3 linked regions of the Saccharomyces cerevisiae S288C genome follow. The protein of the gene in region 1 binds, or shares a complex with, the protein of each later gene. Each region holds a gene or a part of one and is shown in the gene's direction. Other genes may lie near its edges. The genes, in order: PHO4, PSE1 and MSN5.

Region 1 (5,711 bases):
AGAGAGCAAGTTTACAAAGCTGTGCGATCTAGAAACGCAACTGGAGATGGAAAAACTGAAATATGTGAAGGAATCTGAAAAGATGCTGAACGACCGATTATCACTGAGTAAACAGATTCTTGACCTGAACAAGTCGCTGGAGGAGTTGAATGTGTCGAAGAAACTGGTACTGATCTCGGAGCAAGTAGACTCGGGCATACAACTAGTGGAGAAGGACCAGGAGGGCGATGACGAAGACGGCAATACGGCCACAGGACATGGCGTGAAACGTGTAGGCAAGGAAGGCGAGGAAGTAGGCGAAGGCGACTCCATTGCAAAATTGCAGCCCCAGGTGTACAAACCGTGGTCATTGTAAAAAAATATATAAGAAAAAAAAAAAAAAAAAAAAAGAGAGCCTACAAAGTGTACTATTGTCATATTTTATATTTCTAATACAACGTATATAAAACTAGAGAGAAGAAATTTTATAAGTGAAAGTGAATGTGGATGCGTGCGCGTGTGCGTGTGCGTGTGCGTATGCGGATATGCTATTATTCCTCGCGGATGTAGAAGGGGTTGTGGTTGTCGTTTGCATTGGACGTCTCGTGGGCGGTATTGCTGTCGGTGGACAGATGCAAGGAATTGAGGACTCTGGTGTGCGCTACCGAGGCTGCTTTGTCGTTGTAAGATGACATGTCGTCATCTTCATCGATATCGTTATCGTTATCGTTATTGTTGTCTTCGATATTCTGCGATGTGTCCTGAAAGTCTGTATTGGAGTGCAGCGATCCGCCATTTTTTCCTTGGAAGTATTTTGTCTTCTCGATATTCAGCTGCTGCTTGAGTTTCTGCTCGTTCAGGTCATCGATCAGAGAGGTTACGTCGTCGTGACTGAGCTGCAAGGTGGTAGGGGCCCTTCTGATCATCAAGTGCGATGTTATTGTTGCTGTTTTTTTTTTCTCTTCAGACCGCTAATATCATATATACGTACATCCTAGATCCATCCATTATTCCTCTACTTTTGTGCAATGTGAAAGGACAAAGAGACAGGAAAAAGAAAAAATTATGGTGCGGCCTAAACATCGGATGTGGTGCATCTTTTAGTGCCGAGTAGCCAGAGATTAAAATGCCTTGTTGGCGCAATCGGTAGCGCGTATGACTCTTAATCATAAGGTTAGGGGTTCGAGCCCCCTACAGGGCTTATCTCTTTTTTTCTCTAACAAAAAAAAAATTCGTGTTTCTATTTTGCATATTTTCCTATATTTTCCTATATTTTTTTCTCGGCTCTTATACAGCAAAACTAGGTTCATATAAAAAAGATACGGTTATATGCATTATTTAGATCGGAAAAAGTCTCTGTCTAATGCGGTCACCTAGGGTTCGTCCTTTCAAGCGTATGTAAGACAACCATTCCTTCACACCCATGAGCGCGAGTGACAAAACAAAGCTCTGCAATAAGGGCATGAGCAGGACATCGCGAACCACAACTTTCGTAATCACACCCGCCTTCCGTGAGAGAGACGATGAGGGTGCCAATTCCCTGTGTAAAGCTTTCTTGAACACTTTCTCGAACCTCAAATCAGGTATGTTCAAATGTTTGTTGGGAGTTGGCGCCGTAGGTACGTTCATTTCTACGTTCCCACAGTTTTTCTTGCTGCCTTGCCTTCTTTGCGTACGGTGTGTATGTGTATGTCTGTGTGCAAGTATTTCCTATGCTGCAAGTGCGATTTTCTCGTTTTCTATTTTTTTTTTTTTTTGCCTCGCCTAATATGTGGTAGGCGAAAGGCTGACCCGGCCGCTCGCACGGAAATATTTGGCAAATGAGTCTTGACCATAGAAAAATGTATATAACCAGGGAAGAAGTCATGCTTCGGAAGGACCAGAAGAGAAGAGATGAGCAAAGGAGACAGAACAAGAGTAGCAGAAAGTCATGGGCCGTACAACTTCTGAGGGAATACACGGTTTTGTGGACGATCTAGAGCCCAAGAGCAGCATTCTTGATAAAGTCGGAGACTTTATCACCGTAAACACGAAACGGCATGATGGGCGCGAGGACTTCAACGAGCAAAACGACGAGCTGAACAGTCAAGAGAACCACAACAGCAGTGAGAATGGGAACGAGAATGAAAATGAACAAGACAGTCTCGCGTTGGACGACCTAGACCGCGCCTTTGAGCTGGTGGAAGGTATGGATATGGACTGGATGATGCCCTCGCATGCGCACCACTCCCCAGCTACAACTGCTACAATCAAGCCGCGGCTATTATATTCGCCGCTAATACACACGCAAAGTGCGGTTCCCGTAACCATTTCGCCGAACTTGGTCGCTACTGCTACTTCCACCACATCCGCTAACAAAGTCACTAAAAACAAGAGTAATAGTAGTCCGTATTTGAACAAGCGCAGAGGTAAACCCGGGCCGGATTCGGCCACTTCGCTGTTCGAATTGCCCGACAGCGTTATCCCAACTCCGAAACCGAAACCGAAACCAAAGCAATATCCGAAAGTTATTCTGCCGTCGAACAGCACAAGACGCGTATCACCGGTCACGGCCAAGACCAGCAGCAGCGCAGAAGGCGTGGTCGTAGCAAGTGAGTCTCCTGTAATCGCGCCGCACGGATCGAGCCATTCGCGGTCGCTGAGTAAGCGACGGTCATCGGGCGCGCTCGTGGACGATGACAAGCGCGAATCACACAAGCATGCAGAGCAAGCACGGCGTAATCGATTAGCGGTCGCGCTGCACGAACTGGCGTCTTTAATCCCCGCGGAGTGGAAACAGCAAAATGTGTCGGCCGCGCCGTCCAAAGCGACCACCGTGGAGGCGGCCTGCCGGTACATCCGTCACCTACAGCAGAACGTGAGCACGTGACCGTGCACCAATGGGAAGCACGTTCCGGGCATATCGGACTGGGGCGCGCCTCCCCTGCGCGGTGCTTGTTATAAGAGGCGCTTTGCTGGAAAGTGGCCCACACCGGGTTTTCGAGATTAGGACCTACTCAGTCTTAAGGGCAGTATTGGTTGGCGCTTATTTGCACATATTGTATACACGCACTCACATTAACAGAAGCACACATATACACTTACACCTACACACACGGATAAAGAAAAAGAAATAGAAAATGGGCATGTTGGAACTAGTTGGTGAGTACTGGGAACAACTAAAGATAACCGTTGTGCCTGTTGTGGCCGCGGCCGAAGATGACGATAACGAGCAGCATGAAGAAAAGGCAGCAGAAGGAGAAGAAAAAGAAGAAGAAAATGGGGATGAAGATGAGGATGAAGACGAAGACGAAGATGATGATGATGATGACGACGAAGATGAGGAAGAAGAGGAAGAAGTCACTGATCAGTTGGAAGATTTGAGAGAACATTTCAAGAACACGGAGGAGGGTAAGGCCCTTGTGCACCACTACGAGGAGTGTGCTGAGAGAGTCAAGATACAGCAACAACAACCCGGCTACGCGGATCTTGAACACAAGGAGGACTGTGTGGAGGAGTTTTTCCATCTACAGCACTATTTGGACACTGCCACGGCACCTAGATTATTTGACAAATTAAAGTAGTCTGTTTATCCGTCATATTCCCTATATTCATATTTATTCTGAGTCTTGTTACAATTTCTTCAAGAAACCGATCCTTATTTAACCTACTGTATTTAGAAAGTAAATAAATAAACTAAAATCAAAGCAAAAATAATTTTATACACTATTCTTATTTTTATTTTTTAATTTTTAATTTTTTTTATAAGGGAGCACAAGTATACAGACGGAAAAGGGATTAGGCTTTTTTTATGCGCTCTGTCTAGTACTGTTTTCTTTTACATCCGTACATACTCTTAGACCCATACAGCGCATGTATTCTTGTTTTCGACTTTTTTTTGGTTTTTTTTTTTTAGTTCTGTAAGGACAAAGAAAAATGGTCGCTAGCCGCGCTCGGGAAAACCAGCGATATTCTCAATGTAGGAAGTCTACCATTTTCCCTTTAGGCTTTGCCATAATCTCTGGATACATACAATTTCAGAATATTTCAATACTGCATATTTCAAGATTCAACCCATTATTTTATAACATTTTTCATTCAATATTCAAGAACCCCGGAACAACAATACAGTTAGAAAGTACGTTATATTATCATGAAGTCCCCATTTCGCCCATTGGAAATGCAGGTAGCCAAATCTGAGGTGCGCTGAGTGGCATATAGTGGAGGATATAAAGAAAAAAAGAGAGAAGGGAAAATAATGGAAAGTTACCAGTGTTTGAACTTATAGCGAACGCTCTTTCTCGAACGTTCAATTACCTTTAGCATACCCTTGTTCGAAGTTGCCCCCGCTAGCACCACTTCAGATTGGCAGTTAGCTGCCACGCTACTCCCCTCCACCGTTATGAATCATTTTTACTAACCTTTAATGACCATTCGCAATTTCTGCGTACATTCATCGTCTTCTCCAGAAAATGGCTAAGTCTAAGAACCATACCGCTCACAACCAAACCAGAAAGGCTCACAGAAACGGTATCAAGAAGCCAAAGACCTACAAGTACCCTTCTTTGAAAGGTGTTGATCCAAAGTTTAGAAGAAACCACAAGCATGCCCTACACGGCACTGCTAAGGCTTTGGCTGCTGCCAAGAAATAAACTTTTTAAGATTATAATACGTTAAAAATTTACATATTATTTTGTCTGATTTTATATAACATGTTTTATTATCTTAATTGAAGGAAAATTTATCTCAATATCCAGTACCGTTTTCTTTTTTTATTTCTTTTTTTTTTTCTTTTAATTTTCTTTTTCCTCCTTATGTGCCACAAAATGGAAGCGTCACAAATTAATAACAAAAGATAAATGATGTATAAAACAATGGTGTTGACCTTCTACTGAGTAGCAACACATAGAGAAGTATAAGGCCTCACATAAGCATACAAACAAGCCCGCAATGACAGAACAAGTTAACAATGACACTACCAGTGACACTACCACTACCATTACCACAGTTTACATTTCGAACCTGCCATTCACGGCGAGTGAGCGAGACCTACATGCCTTCCTAAACAACTATGGCGCCAGTTCAGTGTTGATTCCAACGCAGACCGTCCGCAGATTCAGCAAAAGGCACAATAGCAACCCTCGCAAACCACTAGGCATAGCATTTGCCCAGTTCGCAAACAATACTCTGGCTTTGAAGGCCATTCAAGACTTGAACGGAACCGTTTTCCAAAATCAGAAACTATTTCTAAAGTTACACGTTCCTTACGAGGCAGACTCTACTCCAGACACGGATGTAAAGAAGCCCAAAGAAAAAAATAAGGTTAAGAAGACACCAGAGACTGCCGCGGATACGGTTTACTGTCACGACCTGCCAGACGATATAACCGACAGTGAGATCCGTGAGTTGTTCCAGCTCTACTCGCCTCAAGAAATCTGGATTTACAGGTCCAAGGTGTACAGGAGAAAGTGTATTCCTTTTGCTCCACACCAAATTACTGCCGCTTTGGTCACTTTGCAATCTGAAACCCCAATTGGGGACATTTGTGACAGTGTGGCCAAGACAGCTACTTTGAGGGGCAAATCGATAATAGTGAAGCCCGCTTACGTCTCTAAGATTCAAGAAATTAAACAATTGGTCAAGGACAACTTAACCAATGCGCGCGACCCACCTCCAGCAGCATTGGCAGAGCCAGCGCCAGCGCCAGCGCCAGTAGAGCCAGCGGAGCAAGTGCAGGAAGGGCAAGACAATGC
Region 2 (5,429 bases), on another chromosome or scaffold:
TCCAAACTGCTAAAGATATGTTACTAACTTCCCAAGTTCAAACAAATATCAACCAATTCGATTCATCCCTACAAATTTTATTCAACAGGGTTGTTGTTCAATTGGGTCTATCCGCCTTTAAATTATGTTTGATTGAAGAATGTCATCAAATTTTGAATGATCTTCTGTCAAGTTCTCACTTAAGAGAAATTTTGGGCCAACAATCCCTACACAGAATATCTCTCAATTCTAGTAACAATGCTTCAGCTGATGAGCGTGCTAGACAATGTTTGCCATATCACCAACACATCAATCTCGATTTAATCGATGTCGTCTTCTTAACATGTTCCTTATTGATCGAAATTCCAAGAATGACTGCCTTCTATTCCGGTATTAAGGTCAAGAGAATTCCTTACTCTCCAAAATCCATTCGTCGTTCCTTAGAACATTACGACAAGTTAAGTTTCCAAGGTCCACCAGAAACTTTAAGAGATTATGTCTTGTTTGCTGCCAAATCAATGCAAAAAGGTAACTGGAGAGACTCTGTTAAATACTTAAGAGAAATAAAATCTTGGGCTTTATTACCAAACATGGAAACGGTGTTGAATAGTTTAACGGAAAGAGTACAAGTTGAATCTTTGAAGACTTATTTCTTTTCTTTCAAGAGGTTCTATTCAAGTTTTTCTGTTGCTAAACTAGCCGAATTATTTGATCTTCCAGAAAATAAGGTGGTTGAAGTTTTGCAATCTGTTATCGCAGAATTGGAAATCCCAGCCAAATTAAACGACGAGAAGACCATCTTTGTTGTCGAAAAGGGTGATGAAATTACTAAATTGGAAGAAGCAATGGTAAAATTGAACAAAGAATATAAAATCGCTAAAGAACGTCTTAACCCACCATCAAATCGTCGTTGATCAATAAAATCAAAAACTACTTCGAAAGCATTCTTAACAAAAAATCATTGTAGATAGAAGAATAACATCAGCAACCAAAAAATATAGAAGGAAACTAAGCAGGAGAGTATAAACCATATTCACTTTTGCTTTTTATTCTTGATATTGCTCATCTTTTTTTTTTTCGATTCTTTTAGCGATCTCTTTATTTTTAGTTTTAGGGTTTGAATCTAATCGTCTTCACTGTACATTACACATAAGCAAATATATATATAGTTTTTTTTGTTACGTAAACACTCTTTATAATATAATACAAACTATTAAACTTTAAGAAAAGTATGATATGCCGCTTTATTTCTTCATCAAATATAATCTCAAAATATATGGATCATGAGTGTTGATAAATAATCCAATAGCCTATCATGGACTATCTGTTTGACATTCTAAAAAAAAAAATAAATTGTACGAACTGCAGTAAATCGGTATTATCATCATGACGCACGATATCAATTCTTTGCAGAAACTGAAAAATTTTTCATTTTCTACCCAGGAAAAAAAGAAAAATGAAATTCACTAAAAAAATGGGAATACTAATACCAGACGGTCCAATAATCACTATAGTATTATAGACAGCTATAACAGTGATCGAAGTTCGGCGCTCTTCAGATACCGAGTGGCTAATAGACTGAGTAGATCAAAGTGGCAGATAGCCCAAACAAAAGTAATTAGCTTGCAAGCCACTTTATCCTAACGACACGTGATTTCAACCGTAACTAGAGCCATCGCTATGTCTGCTTTACCGGAAGAAGTTAATAGAACATTACTTCAGATTGTCCAGGCGTTTGCTTCCCCTGACAATCAAATACGTTCTGTAGCTGAGAAGGCTCTTAGTGAAGAATGGATTACCGAAAACAATATTGAGTATCTTTTAACTTTTTTGGCTGAACAAGCCGCTTTCTCCCAAGATACAACAGTTGCAGCATTATCTGCTGTTCTGTTTAGAAAATTAGCATTAAAAGCTCCCCCTTCTTCGAAGCTTATGATTATGTCCAAAAATATCACACATATTAGGAAAGAAGTTCTTGCACAAATTCGTTCTTCATTGTTAAAAGGGTTTTTGTCGGAAAGAGCTGATTCAATTAGGCACAAACTATCTGATGCTATTGCTGAGTGTGTTCAAGACGACTTACCAGCATGGCCAGAATTACTACAAGCTTTAATAGAGTCTTTAAAAAGCGGTAACCCAAATTTTAGAGAATCCAGTTTTAGAATTTTGACGACTGTACCTTATTTAATTACCGCTGTTGACATCAACAGTATCTTACCAATTTTTCAATCAGGCTTTACTGATGCAAGTGATAATGTCAAAATTGCTGCAGTTACGGCTTTCGTGGGTTATTTTAAGCAACTACCAAAATCTGAGTGGTCCAAGTTAGGTATTTTATTACCAAGTCTTTTGAATAGTTTACCAAGATTTTTAGATGATGGTAAGGACGATGCCCTTGCATCAGTTTTTGAATCGTTAATTGAGTTGGTGGAATTGGCACCAAAACTATTCAAGGATATGTTTGACCAAATAATACAATTCACTGATATGGTTATAAAAAATAAGGATTTAGAACCTCCAGCAAGAACCACAGCACTCGAACTGCTAACCGTTTTCAGCGAGAACGCTCCCCAAATGTGTAAATCGAACCAGAATTACGGGCAAACTTTAGTGATGGTTACTTTAATCATGATGACGGAGGTATCCATAGATGATGATGATGCAGCAGAATGGATAGAATCTGACGATACCGATGATGAAGAGGAAGTTACATATGACCACGCTCGTCAAGCTCTTGATCGTGTTGCTTTAAAGCTGGGTGGTGAATATTTGGCTGCACCATTGTTCCAATATTTACAGCAAATGATCACATCAACCGAATGGAGAGAAAGATTCGCGGCCATGATGGCACTTTCCTCTGCAGCTGAGGGTTGTGCTGATGTTCTGATCGGCGAGATCCCAAAAATCCTGGATATGGTAATTCCCCTCATCAACGATCCTCATCCAAGAGTACAGTATGGATGTTGTAATGTTTTGGGTCAAATATCTACTGATTTTTCACCATTCATTCAAAGAACTGCACACGATAGAATTTTGCCGGCTTTAATATCTAAACTAACGTCAGAATGCACCTCAAGAGTTCAAACGCACGCCGCAGCGGCTCTGGTTAACTTTTCTGAATTCGCTTCGAAGGATATTCTTGAGCCTTACTTGGATAGTCTATTGACAAATTTATTAGTTTTATTACAAAGCAACAAACTTTACGTACAGGAACAGGCCCTAACAACCATTGCATTTATTGCTGAAGCTGCAAAGAATAAATTTATCAAGTATTACGATACTCTAATGCCATTATTATTAAATGTTTTGAAGGTTAACAATAAAGATAATAGTGTTTTGAAAGGTAAATGTATGGAATGTGCAACTCTGATTGGTTTTGCCGTTGGTAAGGAAAAATTTCATGAGCACTCTCAAGAGCTGATTTCTATATTGGTCGCTTTACAAAACTCAGATATCGATGAAGATGATGCGCTCAGATCATACTTAGAACAAAGTTGGAGCAGGATTTGCCGAATTCTGGGTGATGATTTTGTTCCGTTGTTACCGATTGTTATACCACCCCTGCTAATTACTGCCAAAGCAACGCAAGACGTCGGTTTAATTGAAGAAGAAGAAGCAGCAAATTTCCAACAATATCCAGATTGGGATGTTGTTCAAGTTCAGGGAAAACACATTGCTATTCACACATCCGTCCTTGACGATAAAGTATCAGCAATGGAGCTATTACAAAGCTATGCGACACTTTTAAGAGGCCAATTTGCTGTATATGTTAAAGAAGTAATGGAAGAAATAGCTCTACCATCGCTTGACTTTTACCTACATGACGGTGTTCGTGCTGCAGGAGCAACTTTAATTCCTATTCTATTATCTTGTTTACTTGCAGCCACCGGTACTCAAAACGAGGAATTGGTATTGTTGTGGCATAAAGCTTCGTCTAAACTAATCGGAGGCTTAATGTCAGAACCAATGCCAGAAATCACGCAAGTTTATCACAACTCGTTAGTGAATGGTATTAAAGTCATGGGTGACAATTGCTTAAGCGAAGACCAATTAGCGGCATTTACTAAGGGTGTCTCCGCCAACTTAACTGACACTTACGAAAGGATGCAGGATCGCCATGGTGATGGTGATGAATATAATGAAAATATTGATGAAGAGGAAGACTTTACTGACGAAGATCTTCTCGATGAAATCAACAAGTCTATCGCGGCCGTTTTGAAAACCACAAATGGTCATTATCTAAAGAATTTGGAGAATATATGGCCTATGATAAACACATTCCTTTTAGATAATGAACCAATTTTAGTCATTTTTGCATTAGTAGTGATTGGTGACTTGATTCAATATGGTGGCGAACAAACTGCTAGCATGAAGAACGCATTTATTCCAAAGGTTACCGAGTGCTTGATTTCTCCTGACGCTCGTATTCGCCAAGCTGCTTCTTATATAATCGGTGTTTGTGCCCAATACGCTCCATCTACATATGCTGACGTTTGCATACCGACTTTAGATACACTTGTTCAGATTGTCGATTTTCCAGGCTCCAAACTGGAAGAAAATCGTTCTTCAACAGAGAATGCCAGTGCAGCCATCGCCAAAATTCTTTATGCATACAATTCCAACATTCCTAACGTAGACACGTACACGGCTAATTGGTTCAAAACGTTACCAACAATAACTGACAAAGAAGCTGCCTCATTCAACTATCAATTTTTGAGTCAATTGATTGAAAATAATTCGCCAATTGTGTGTGCTCAATCTAATATCTCCGCTGTAGTTGATTCAGTCATACAAGCCTTGAATGAGAGAAGTTTGACCGAAAGGGAAGGCCAAACGGTGATAAGTTCAGTTAAAAAGTTGTTGGGATTTTTGCCTTCTAGTGATGCTATGGCAATTTTCAATAGATATCCAGCTGATATTATGGAGAAAGTACATAAATGGTTTGCATAAAGACGTTTAATAGAAAGAAGAACAATGTTAAGTAGTTCTATAAGGAATATTAAATGAATATTGTCTTTTTTGATGATTTAAAAACATATAATGTAACAATAGTGTTCTTTTTAATTTACCGGTGGTAATAGCGAATAGAATCTTATAAAACTTACATAGAAAAAAAATATATACTATACTTACAACTTTTCATTTTTTTCGTAAAAACTACCCCACAATGAAATAAGATACCATACCTTATCGAGTTATTATGTATGTGTCGAAGCTTTTTAAACCAAAGCAAAACCGACACCAGCGGCAATGGATAAGGAAATGATGGAGGTAAAGACCACTTGTGCTAAGTTAGCTTTAACGTTGGTGGCAGCATTCTTCTTGCTAGAAGATGAAGATGAAGCTGAAGAAGAAGAAGAAGAACTGGAAGAACCAGAAGAGCCGGAGTTAGACTTGGAAGAAGACCCCGAAGCGTTAGAAGAGGCAGTACTGGATTCAGTTCCGGAACC
Region 3 (6,012 bases), on another chromosome or scaffold:
CCCATATTCGGAAAGAACCTTATTGACCTATTAACGAAAGATAGAAGGGTTAAATATGATAAATCAAGCATTATTGATAATGAACTAATAAAACCCTTGCAAACCAGGGTATTGGATAATAGAAAGATCATAGATACCTTTGCAGTGTTAACCCCAAGTGCCGTCTCACTAGATATGAGAAAGTTGGCATTGGGATTAAATGATGACAGTTCGGTAGGCGAAAACACAAGGCTAAAGGTAATGCAGAACTGTTTTGAAGTATCCAACCCATTACACCAACTGCAAACCAAATTAACAATCGCATTCCCGGACAAATCGCTGCTTCAATACGATTGTGGTAAATTGCAGAAGTTAGCAATTTTATTACAGCAGCTGAAGGACAATGGACATAGGGCACTTATCTTCACACAAATGACAAAAGTTTTGGACGTTCTGGAACAGTTTTTAAACTATCATGGTTATTTGTATATGAGACTAGATGGTGCCACAAAGATCGAAGACCGTCAAATCCTAACAGAGAGATTCAACACTGACTCAAGAATAACGGTATTTATCCTATCAAGTAGATCAGGAGGGCTAGGTATCAATCTGACTGGGGCAGATACAGTTATTTTTTACGATTCAGATTGGAATCCAGCCATGGACAAACAGTGTCAAGATAGATGTCACAGAATTGGACAGACTCGAGATGTGCATATTTACAGATTTGTCAGCGAACATACCATAGAAAGCAATATCTTAAAAAAAGCCAACCAAAAAAGACAATTGGATAATGTTGTTATTCAAGAGGGTGACTTCACAACAGATTATTTCAGCAAACTTTCGGTGAGAGATTTATTGGGATCCGAATTGCCCGAAAATGCTTCAGGTGGAGATAAACCACTAATAGCAGATGCAGATGTGGCAGCCAAAGATCCCAGACAACTGGAAAGACTTCTTGCGCAAGCGGAAGATGAGGATGATGTTAAAGCTGCAAACTTAGCCATGAGAGAAGTCGAAATTGACAATGACGATTTCGACGAAAGCACAGAAAAAAAAGCAGCTAATGAAGAGGAAGAAAATCATGCTGAACTTGATGAGTATGAGGGCACTGCCCATGTTGACGAGTACATGATCAGGTTTATTGCCAACGGTTATTATTATTGAAGGACCAGGTTCTACTCTTCACCGCTGCCTTAGTTGTCCAAATCGGACTATATACCTATTGTGAATATTTTAATGATATATAGCCATAATGAATCAACAAATTGTATTATTATTTCCGACAACACTATCGCCTCTTGGTTTTTATGGTAATGTACTCACCATGGCATTGTTCCTTGGTCACCAATTTCTATTTACCGGGTGATGGCGGCGCGCCACAGCGGAGGGGCATTGCCACATTGCTGCGCGATCAAGGTTGGTTTTTCCAAAGAGACTTCAAGAGTACTAAGCTTTTGATGTAGTAATATTTGTCAAAGAGTTTTAAGAGCAAGATTCCATTGAACAGAGGTGCTGGAGTGACGAGCGTGTGTGTTTTTAGCCTATCTTTATTCGTTGAGCCTGTAGAAGAGCCGTTCTTTTAAGTACACCCTGATTAGATCCCCCTATTTGTTGCAACCGTTCAAGTTTTGTAGATCGGAAGAAGAGCAAAACAGAAAAATAAACAAGGCGAGAACGTAAGGTGTCATTGCATTAGCCATTAAAAACCATATTCACTCTTTACATTCGTGTAGCAATTGTTACTGTGATAAACTATTGAAATTATTTATAGTATATTTTGTTTTCTTCCTTTTAATCACTTTTTGAATTTTTAGAATCTGAAATTTTTTTTCTAACGTTGATTGGAAGAAAAGTAATGGATTCCACAGGCGCTTCTCAGATTGTTAGCGCACTAGATGTTATTTACTCCCCCAAGTCTAACAATTCTCAACGGCAAGAAGCTCAGAAATTTTTAGATGAAGTGAAATTATGCTCAGAATCGCCCTTTTGGGGCTACGAAATTGCATTGCAAAACCCCACTAATTCTATATTGAAATACTTTGGACTAGGATTACTAGACCATGCAGTGAAGAAAAACTGGAATGATTATGACGAGGGGAAAAGAGTGGCCCTGAGAAAATGGGTCATGGAACTTAATTTTGGGGTGCAAGATTATGATACCAGATATATTAAGGAAAAATTAGCCACTTTATGGGTAGAGGTGGCAAAAAGAACATGGGGTGAGGCTCTTAAGCAGACAAACCCTACGGAAGAACAGTTACTCACATCTTGGGTGGACATGGACAATAACCTTTTCGAACTTTGGAACATAAATCAATCGTCAAGAGAACTAGCATTAATAATTTTCAGAATCCTTTTTGAAGATGTTTTCTTGTTGGACGACCTAATTGTTTTGAAAAGGATGACGGTTATTCAACCCTTATGTGTAATGATTGTTTGCCCTATTGAAGTTTTCGCAATAAAATACAAATTCAGTGATAAATGGACCAAATTTAAAGCTAATGAAGAGGGCTGGTTTTCTGTTTGGATTCCAGAGTTGAATAATGCATTACAACAGAATAATTCTGAATACATCATAAGGCTTTTAGAAACTCTGAAGACGTGTTTAAACTGGCCATTAACAGAGGTCATTGTAAGAAATGACGTGTTATCCTCCTTATTGACTTGTTTATCCAGCAATATCCCAAGGGCGCAGTCAATGGCATTAGACTCGATACATATTCTGTTGACCCGTCCCTATAGTAATGAAAGCCATTACCAAATGACCATAGATCGAGTTTTTGATAATATGGACTTATTAGATAGCGTTTATGAAAGCTTGTTGTTTGATCCTACAGATGATATAGATGAAACGAAATATCCTATAATTAAAAAGTTCGTGGATATGATCAGTTGTCTCTATGTTTGTGTCCCAAAGATTAAGGAGACAAATGGCCAAATTCAAAAATATTTTAAGCTTGTATTAAAGACAACTTATAACCCAAGCTTAATCGTTAGCGGATTAACATTAGACCTATGGTGTACCTGTCTTCGAAACGATGAATACTTACCCAAGCTGGAGAAATATGTCATTCCTGATCTACTACAGTTTGCCGCGGATGCTTTAGTCTATTATGAACAGATTGATGGTCATATTTCCAAAAAATTTGCGGAGATTGATTTTCAATCCAAGTCCGAATTTCAAACATTTTGTTCCACTTATAGGAAAAGAATAAGAGACATCATTAGGTTGATTTCTTGCGTCGAATTAGACCTTACTTATGATTGGTTGAACAACAGATTAAACAATTATTTCAGCTCTCCATTTGGTCAGCAGGTCTTAAGTTCCACATTTTTGGACCATAAATTAGAGCCTTATTTAGGTGCCCTCTCCCAATACATGATTGTTGAATGTTTCATCAATGGTTGTATAAGATGGAAGATCTGGTATCCAACAGGAGATGATTATGACGAAAAACTAGATTCCATATTACAAAAACTGGAAATTTTGTCAAACCAGTTAATTGCATTAAATTTAAGAGAACCATTGTTATTGAAGAAACAAATCCAAAATTTTGCACTTTTTTTGACAATGTTAAAAGATAATGTGCTTTTCACACTTTTAGAAAAAATCATAACAAGCGCCACGATGGACTATCCAGAAATTAATTTGGAAGAGAGAGGCGCTGAATCAGACGCAGTTAGAGATTTGAGATATGCTTGTGGTATCGAGTTGAATAGGATGGCTTTATTAATGCCCGAATCTCTGAAAAAAATATACCCAGACCTTGAAAGTGTCATTGCCAGAATCATGCCCAACTTATCTTACCATGAAAAAATTTCCTTCAAATCCTTCTTATTGATCATTGTATTGAAGTCTTCATTAGATATGAAAGAGGAAAGATTTGCGGCTATTGTGGATCCAGAACTTTTAGCCTGGTCTGATAAAACAACAGTTGTTGGTCTTTCTGATTTGCATTGGTTTATGGAACGCTTAGGTATTGTTCAGATCGCAGAATATTTCCAGAGGCGTGATATCGACGAAAATAGTGACCTTTTATCAATTCCAATTGATGATGAGGGTAAAGAGCTGAAGTCGGAATTGACCAAACGTTGGCAAAGCTTGTTTCCTGTTCGTGCAACAAGAATGTTCATTCATTATTCAATGCAAAGTATAAAGACAGATGAAGAATTCAAAATGCTACAAGATCTGTGGAGACCTAGGATTGTCCCAATATTACCTTACATCACGAGACTACTGTACCAATTGCAATCCTACCACGATCCAGATAATTGGAAAGGATTACCTACGGTTGTGCAATCCTTCGTCAAGTATTCCACTATTGAAAGATTTTGGGAGGCCGGAGCTTCAAATAAATCAAAGGATGAGTTTATTGATGAACATATGAAAGCGATGCAAACCTTACGAGACTTCGCCGACTCCGTAGGACACATCATTAGGTATACAAGGGAATACACTCTACTTGTTTTAAGTGCCATATCATCACTTGGTAGTGTTTTTTACCTTTTGGACGAATCGCCCGACCTACTACTGAACTCTATTGCCATATTTAAGCCAGGTAGCAATGAGATAAGCCCTGGAGTTTCAACACATGGATGGAAACACATAATGAATATAGCCATTCGTCCTATATTAAAAGGTTGTCCAAAAGATTGTCTGGGGAAATTCATGCCCGCATTTTTGCCTAAATTATTTGAAATCCTGGACCTGCTGCTATGTCAGAAATGGTCCTCGCATATGAATGATATGGACATGAACCCAGTTCCAACTGACGATGATCAAATGACTGAAGAAATTTTGGAAGAGAATTTGTTGAGACAACTAACCACAGTTGTTGTTAGAATAGTAATTGATTGTGTTGGTCAAGGCAATGCCAATCCAAACAGTGCTAAAAGCAGGCTAAATAACCATCAAATGGAGATGAGAAAAATTATATTTAATGATTTAAACACCCTTGCTCCATTTTTGAAACTTTTGAACCATTTAATTTCCTTCAAGGATACAAAATGTTCATTTAACTCCATCCTAGTAATGAAATGCTGCTTAACCTCAGTCCTTAATCAAAACAACACGGTGGATGAATATTTCACATTTGAAGTGATGAAAAATCTGTTGCTAAATGTGCTGTGTAATAGTGCGTTTAAGGATTCTTTCCATGAGGCACTATATGCTTTCACTGTGATTTTTTTGACTCTGTGCAAAGAATATCCCTCTGCTAGAGCGTTCCTTTTTGAGATATCTAATGGTTATAATATTGATGAGTTATACAGAAATTTAAGGAGCGTGGACGAATACAAAACACAAAGGGCACTCATGATTGATTTTATAGATTGGGTTAAATCCACCAGTGGGAAAGAAGATGGTAATGTGGACCATGCAGGCGATGAGAGAAAAAGACAAGAGAAAAGGGAAGCTATCCTCAAGAAGGCAAATGAGAGATTAATTAAGAAGAATAAAGAAAACGGAGACATGCTGGATGATCCGAACATTGAAGACGGTGCTGTGGGTAATCTCTTTGATGACAACTGATAATAAGGTGCCATATATACGTAGATGTGTAGATGAAATTAGAGAAAGCAAATAGACATCTGAATCGTGCTAAAAATTGTAATTATTGTGAAAAAAAAAATTCTGTATTCGCAATTTTTTTAATGAAAGTCGGCAGCCGGTAAATATGCATATAATCAAGCGTTTTAATGTGGGTCTGAACAAGGTATTTCTGAAGATTTTTTCTTCACATATTCCCTAATATTTTAGCGAAATAGGAAACCATTGGCAATGGAACAACTGTGTAAGAGGTACGTGCATACACCGGCGGCTTTTATACAAAACATTGTTGCTAACACTAAAAGAACAACGCTAGCCACGCAATTATCTGTTGAAAAAGCTAAAAAAAAAGTTCCCAAGACAGCTCTTAAAAAGAAACTTAATAGTAGGCCAAAAGAAAGGCTTCCGAATTGGCTAAAACTAAACGATGTTTTTAACATACATTACGAAAAGCCATCTAACTCTGATATAAATAAGGTTAA

The links.
Region 2: the proteins of PHO4 (region 1) and PSE1 are in contact, whole or in part, in a crystal structure (PDB 3W3X), measured with the Saccharomyces cerevisiae proteins. Residues at the interface, in NP_116692.1 of Saccharomyces cerevisiae: Ala141 (codon at 2,330), Asn142 (codon at 2,333), Lys143 (codon at 2,336), Val144 (codon at 2,339), Thr145 (codon at 2,342), Lys146 (codon at 2,345), Asn147 (codon at 2,348), Lys148 (codon at 2,351), Ser149 (codon at 2,354), Asn150 (codon at 2,357); in NP_014039.1 of Saccharomyces cerevisiae: Glu287 (codon at 2,518), Asp336 (codon at 2,665), Asp338 (codon at 2,671), Asp346 (codon at 2,695), Gln350 (codon at 2,707), Asp353 (codon at 2,716), Arg354 (codon at 2,719), Leu357 (codon at 2,728), Ser392 (codon at 2,833), Ser393 (codon at 2,836), Glu396 (codon at 2,845), Asn430 (codon at 2,947), Gly433 (codon at 2,956), Gln434 (codon at 2,959), Asp438 (codon at 2,971), His470 (codon at 3,067), Ala473 (codon at 3,076), Ala474 (codon at 3,079), Val476 (codon at 3,085), Asn477 (codon at 3,088), Glu480 (codon at 3,097), Gln512 (codon at 3,193), Thr515 (codon at 3,202), Lys556 (codon at 3,325).
Region 3: the proteins of PHO4 (region 1) and MSN5 are in contact, whole or in part, in a cryo-EM structure (PDB 9D45), measured with the Saccharomyces cerevisiae proteins. Residues at the interface, in NP_116692.1 of Saccharomyces cerevisiae: Leu112 (codon at 2,243), Tyr113 (codon at 2,246), Ser114 (codon at 2,249), Pro115 (codon at 2,252), Leu116 (codon at 2,255), Ile117 (codon at 2,258), His118 (codon at 2,261), Thr119 (codon at 2,264), Gln120 (codon at 2,267), Ala122 (codon at 2,273), Val123 (codon at 2,276), Pro124 (codon at 2,279), Val125 (codon at 2,282), Thr126 (codon at 2,285), Ile127 (codon at 2,288), Ser128 (codon at 2,291), Leu131 (codon at 2,300), Val132 (codon at 2,303), Ala133 (codon at 2,306), Thr134 (codon at 2,309); in NP_010622.1 of Saccharomyces cerevisiae: Arg393 (codon at 3,014), Asp395 (codon at 3,020), Arg458 (codon at 3,209), Leu459 (codon at 3,212), Asn516 (codon at 3,383), Ile519 (codon at 3,392), Arg520 (codon at 3,395), Ile523 (codon at 3,404), Trp524 (codon at 3,407), Pro526 (codon at 3,413), Ala568 (codon at 3,539), Leu569 (codon at 3,542), Thr572 (codon at 3,551), Ile618 (codon at 3,689), Arg622 (codon at 3,701), Leu625 (codon at 3,710), Leu626 (codon at 3,713), His652 (codon at 3,791), Lys667 (codon at 3,836), Arg754 (codon at 4,097), Arg757 (codon at 4,106), Met758 (codon at 4,109), His761 (codon at 4,118), Tyr762 (codon at 4,121), Gln765 (codon at 4,130), His859 (codon at 4,412), Tyr863 (codon at 4,424), Glu866 (codon at 4,433), Tyr867 (codon at 4,436), Leu870 (codon at 4,445).

The regions. Positions count from the first base shown.
Region 1 is NC_001138.5:222,157-227,867, reverse strand, and holds PHO4 (phosphate-sensing transcription factor PHO4), read left to right. Parts: upstream 1-1,909; coding exon 1,910-2,848; downstream 2,849-5,711. Other genes in the region: RSC8 (Rsc8p), read left to right, coding at 1-355; anaphase promoting complex subunit CDC26, read right to left, coding at 531-905; YFR035W-A (uncharacterized protein), read right to left, coding at 1,318-1,608; YFR035C (uncharacterized protein), read left to right, coding at 1,403-1,747; QCR6 (ubiquinol--cytochrome-c reductase subunit 6), read left to right, coding at 3,099-3,542; MIN10 (Min10p), read left to right, coding at 3,895-4,158; 60S ribosomal protein eL29 RPL29, read left to right, coding at 4,431-4,610; RRT5 (Rrt5p), read left to right, coding at 4,909-5,711. UniProt on the Saccharomyces cerevisiae protein: Transcriptional activator that regulates the expression of repressible phosphatase under phosphate starvation conditions. Binds to the upstream activating sequence (UAS) of several phosphatase encoding PHO genes.
Region 2 is NC_001145.3:888,452-893,880, reverse strand, and holds PSE1 (importin PSE1), read left to right. Parts: upstream 1-1,659; coding exon 1,660-4,929; downstream 4,930-5,429. Other genes in the region: NIP1 (translation initiation factor eIF3 core subunit c), read left to right, coding at 1-893; 1,3-beta-glucanosyltransferase GAS1, read right to left, coding at 5,199-5,429. UniProt on the Saccharomyces cerevisiae protein: Functions in nuclear protein import as nuclear transport receptor. Serves as receptor for classical and arginine/glycine-rich nuclear localization signals (cNLS and rg-NLS) in cargo substrates.
Region 3 is NC_001136.10:1,139,331-1,145,342, forward strand, and holds MSN5 (karyopherin MSN5), read left to right. Parts: upstream 1-1,837; coding exon 1,838-5,512; downstream 5,513-6,012. Other genes in the region: chromatin-remodeling protein SWR1, read left to right, coding at 1-1,146; translation initiation/elongation factor MRX8, read left to right, coding at 5,762-6,012.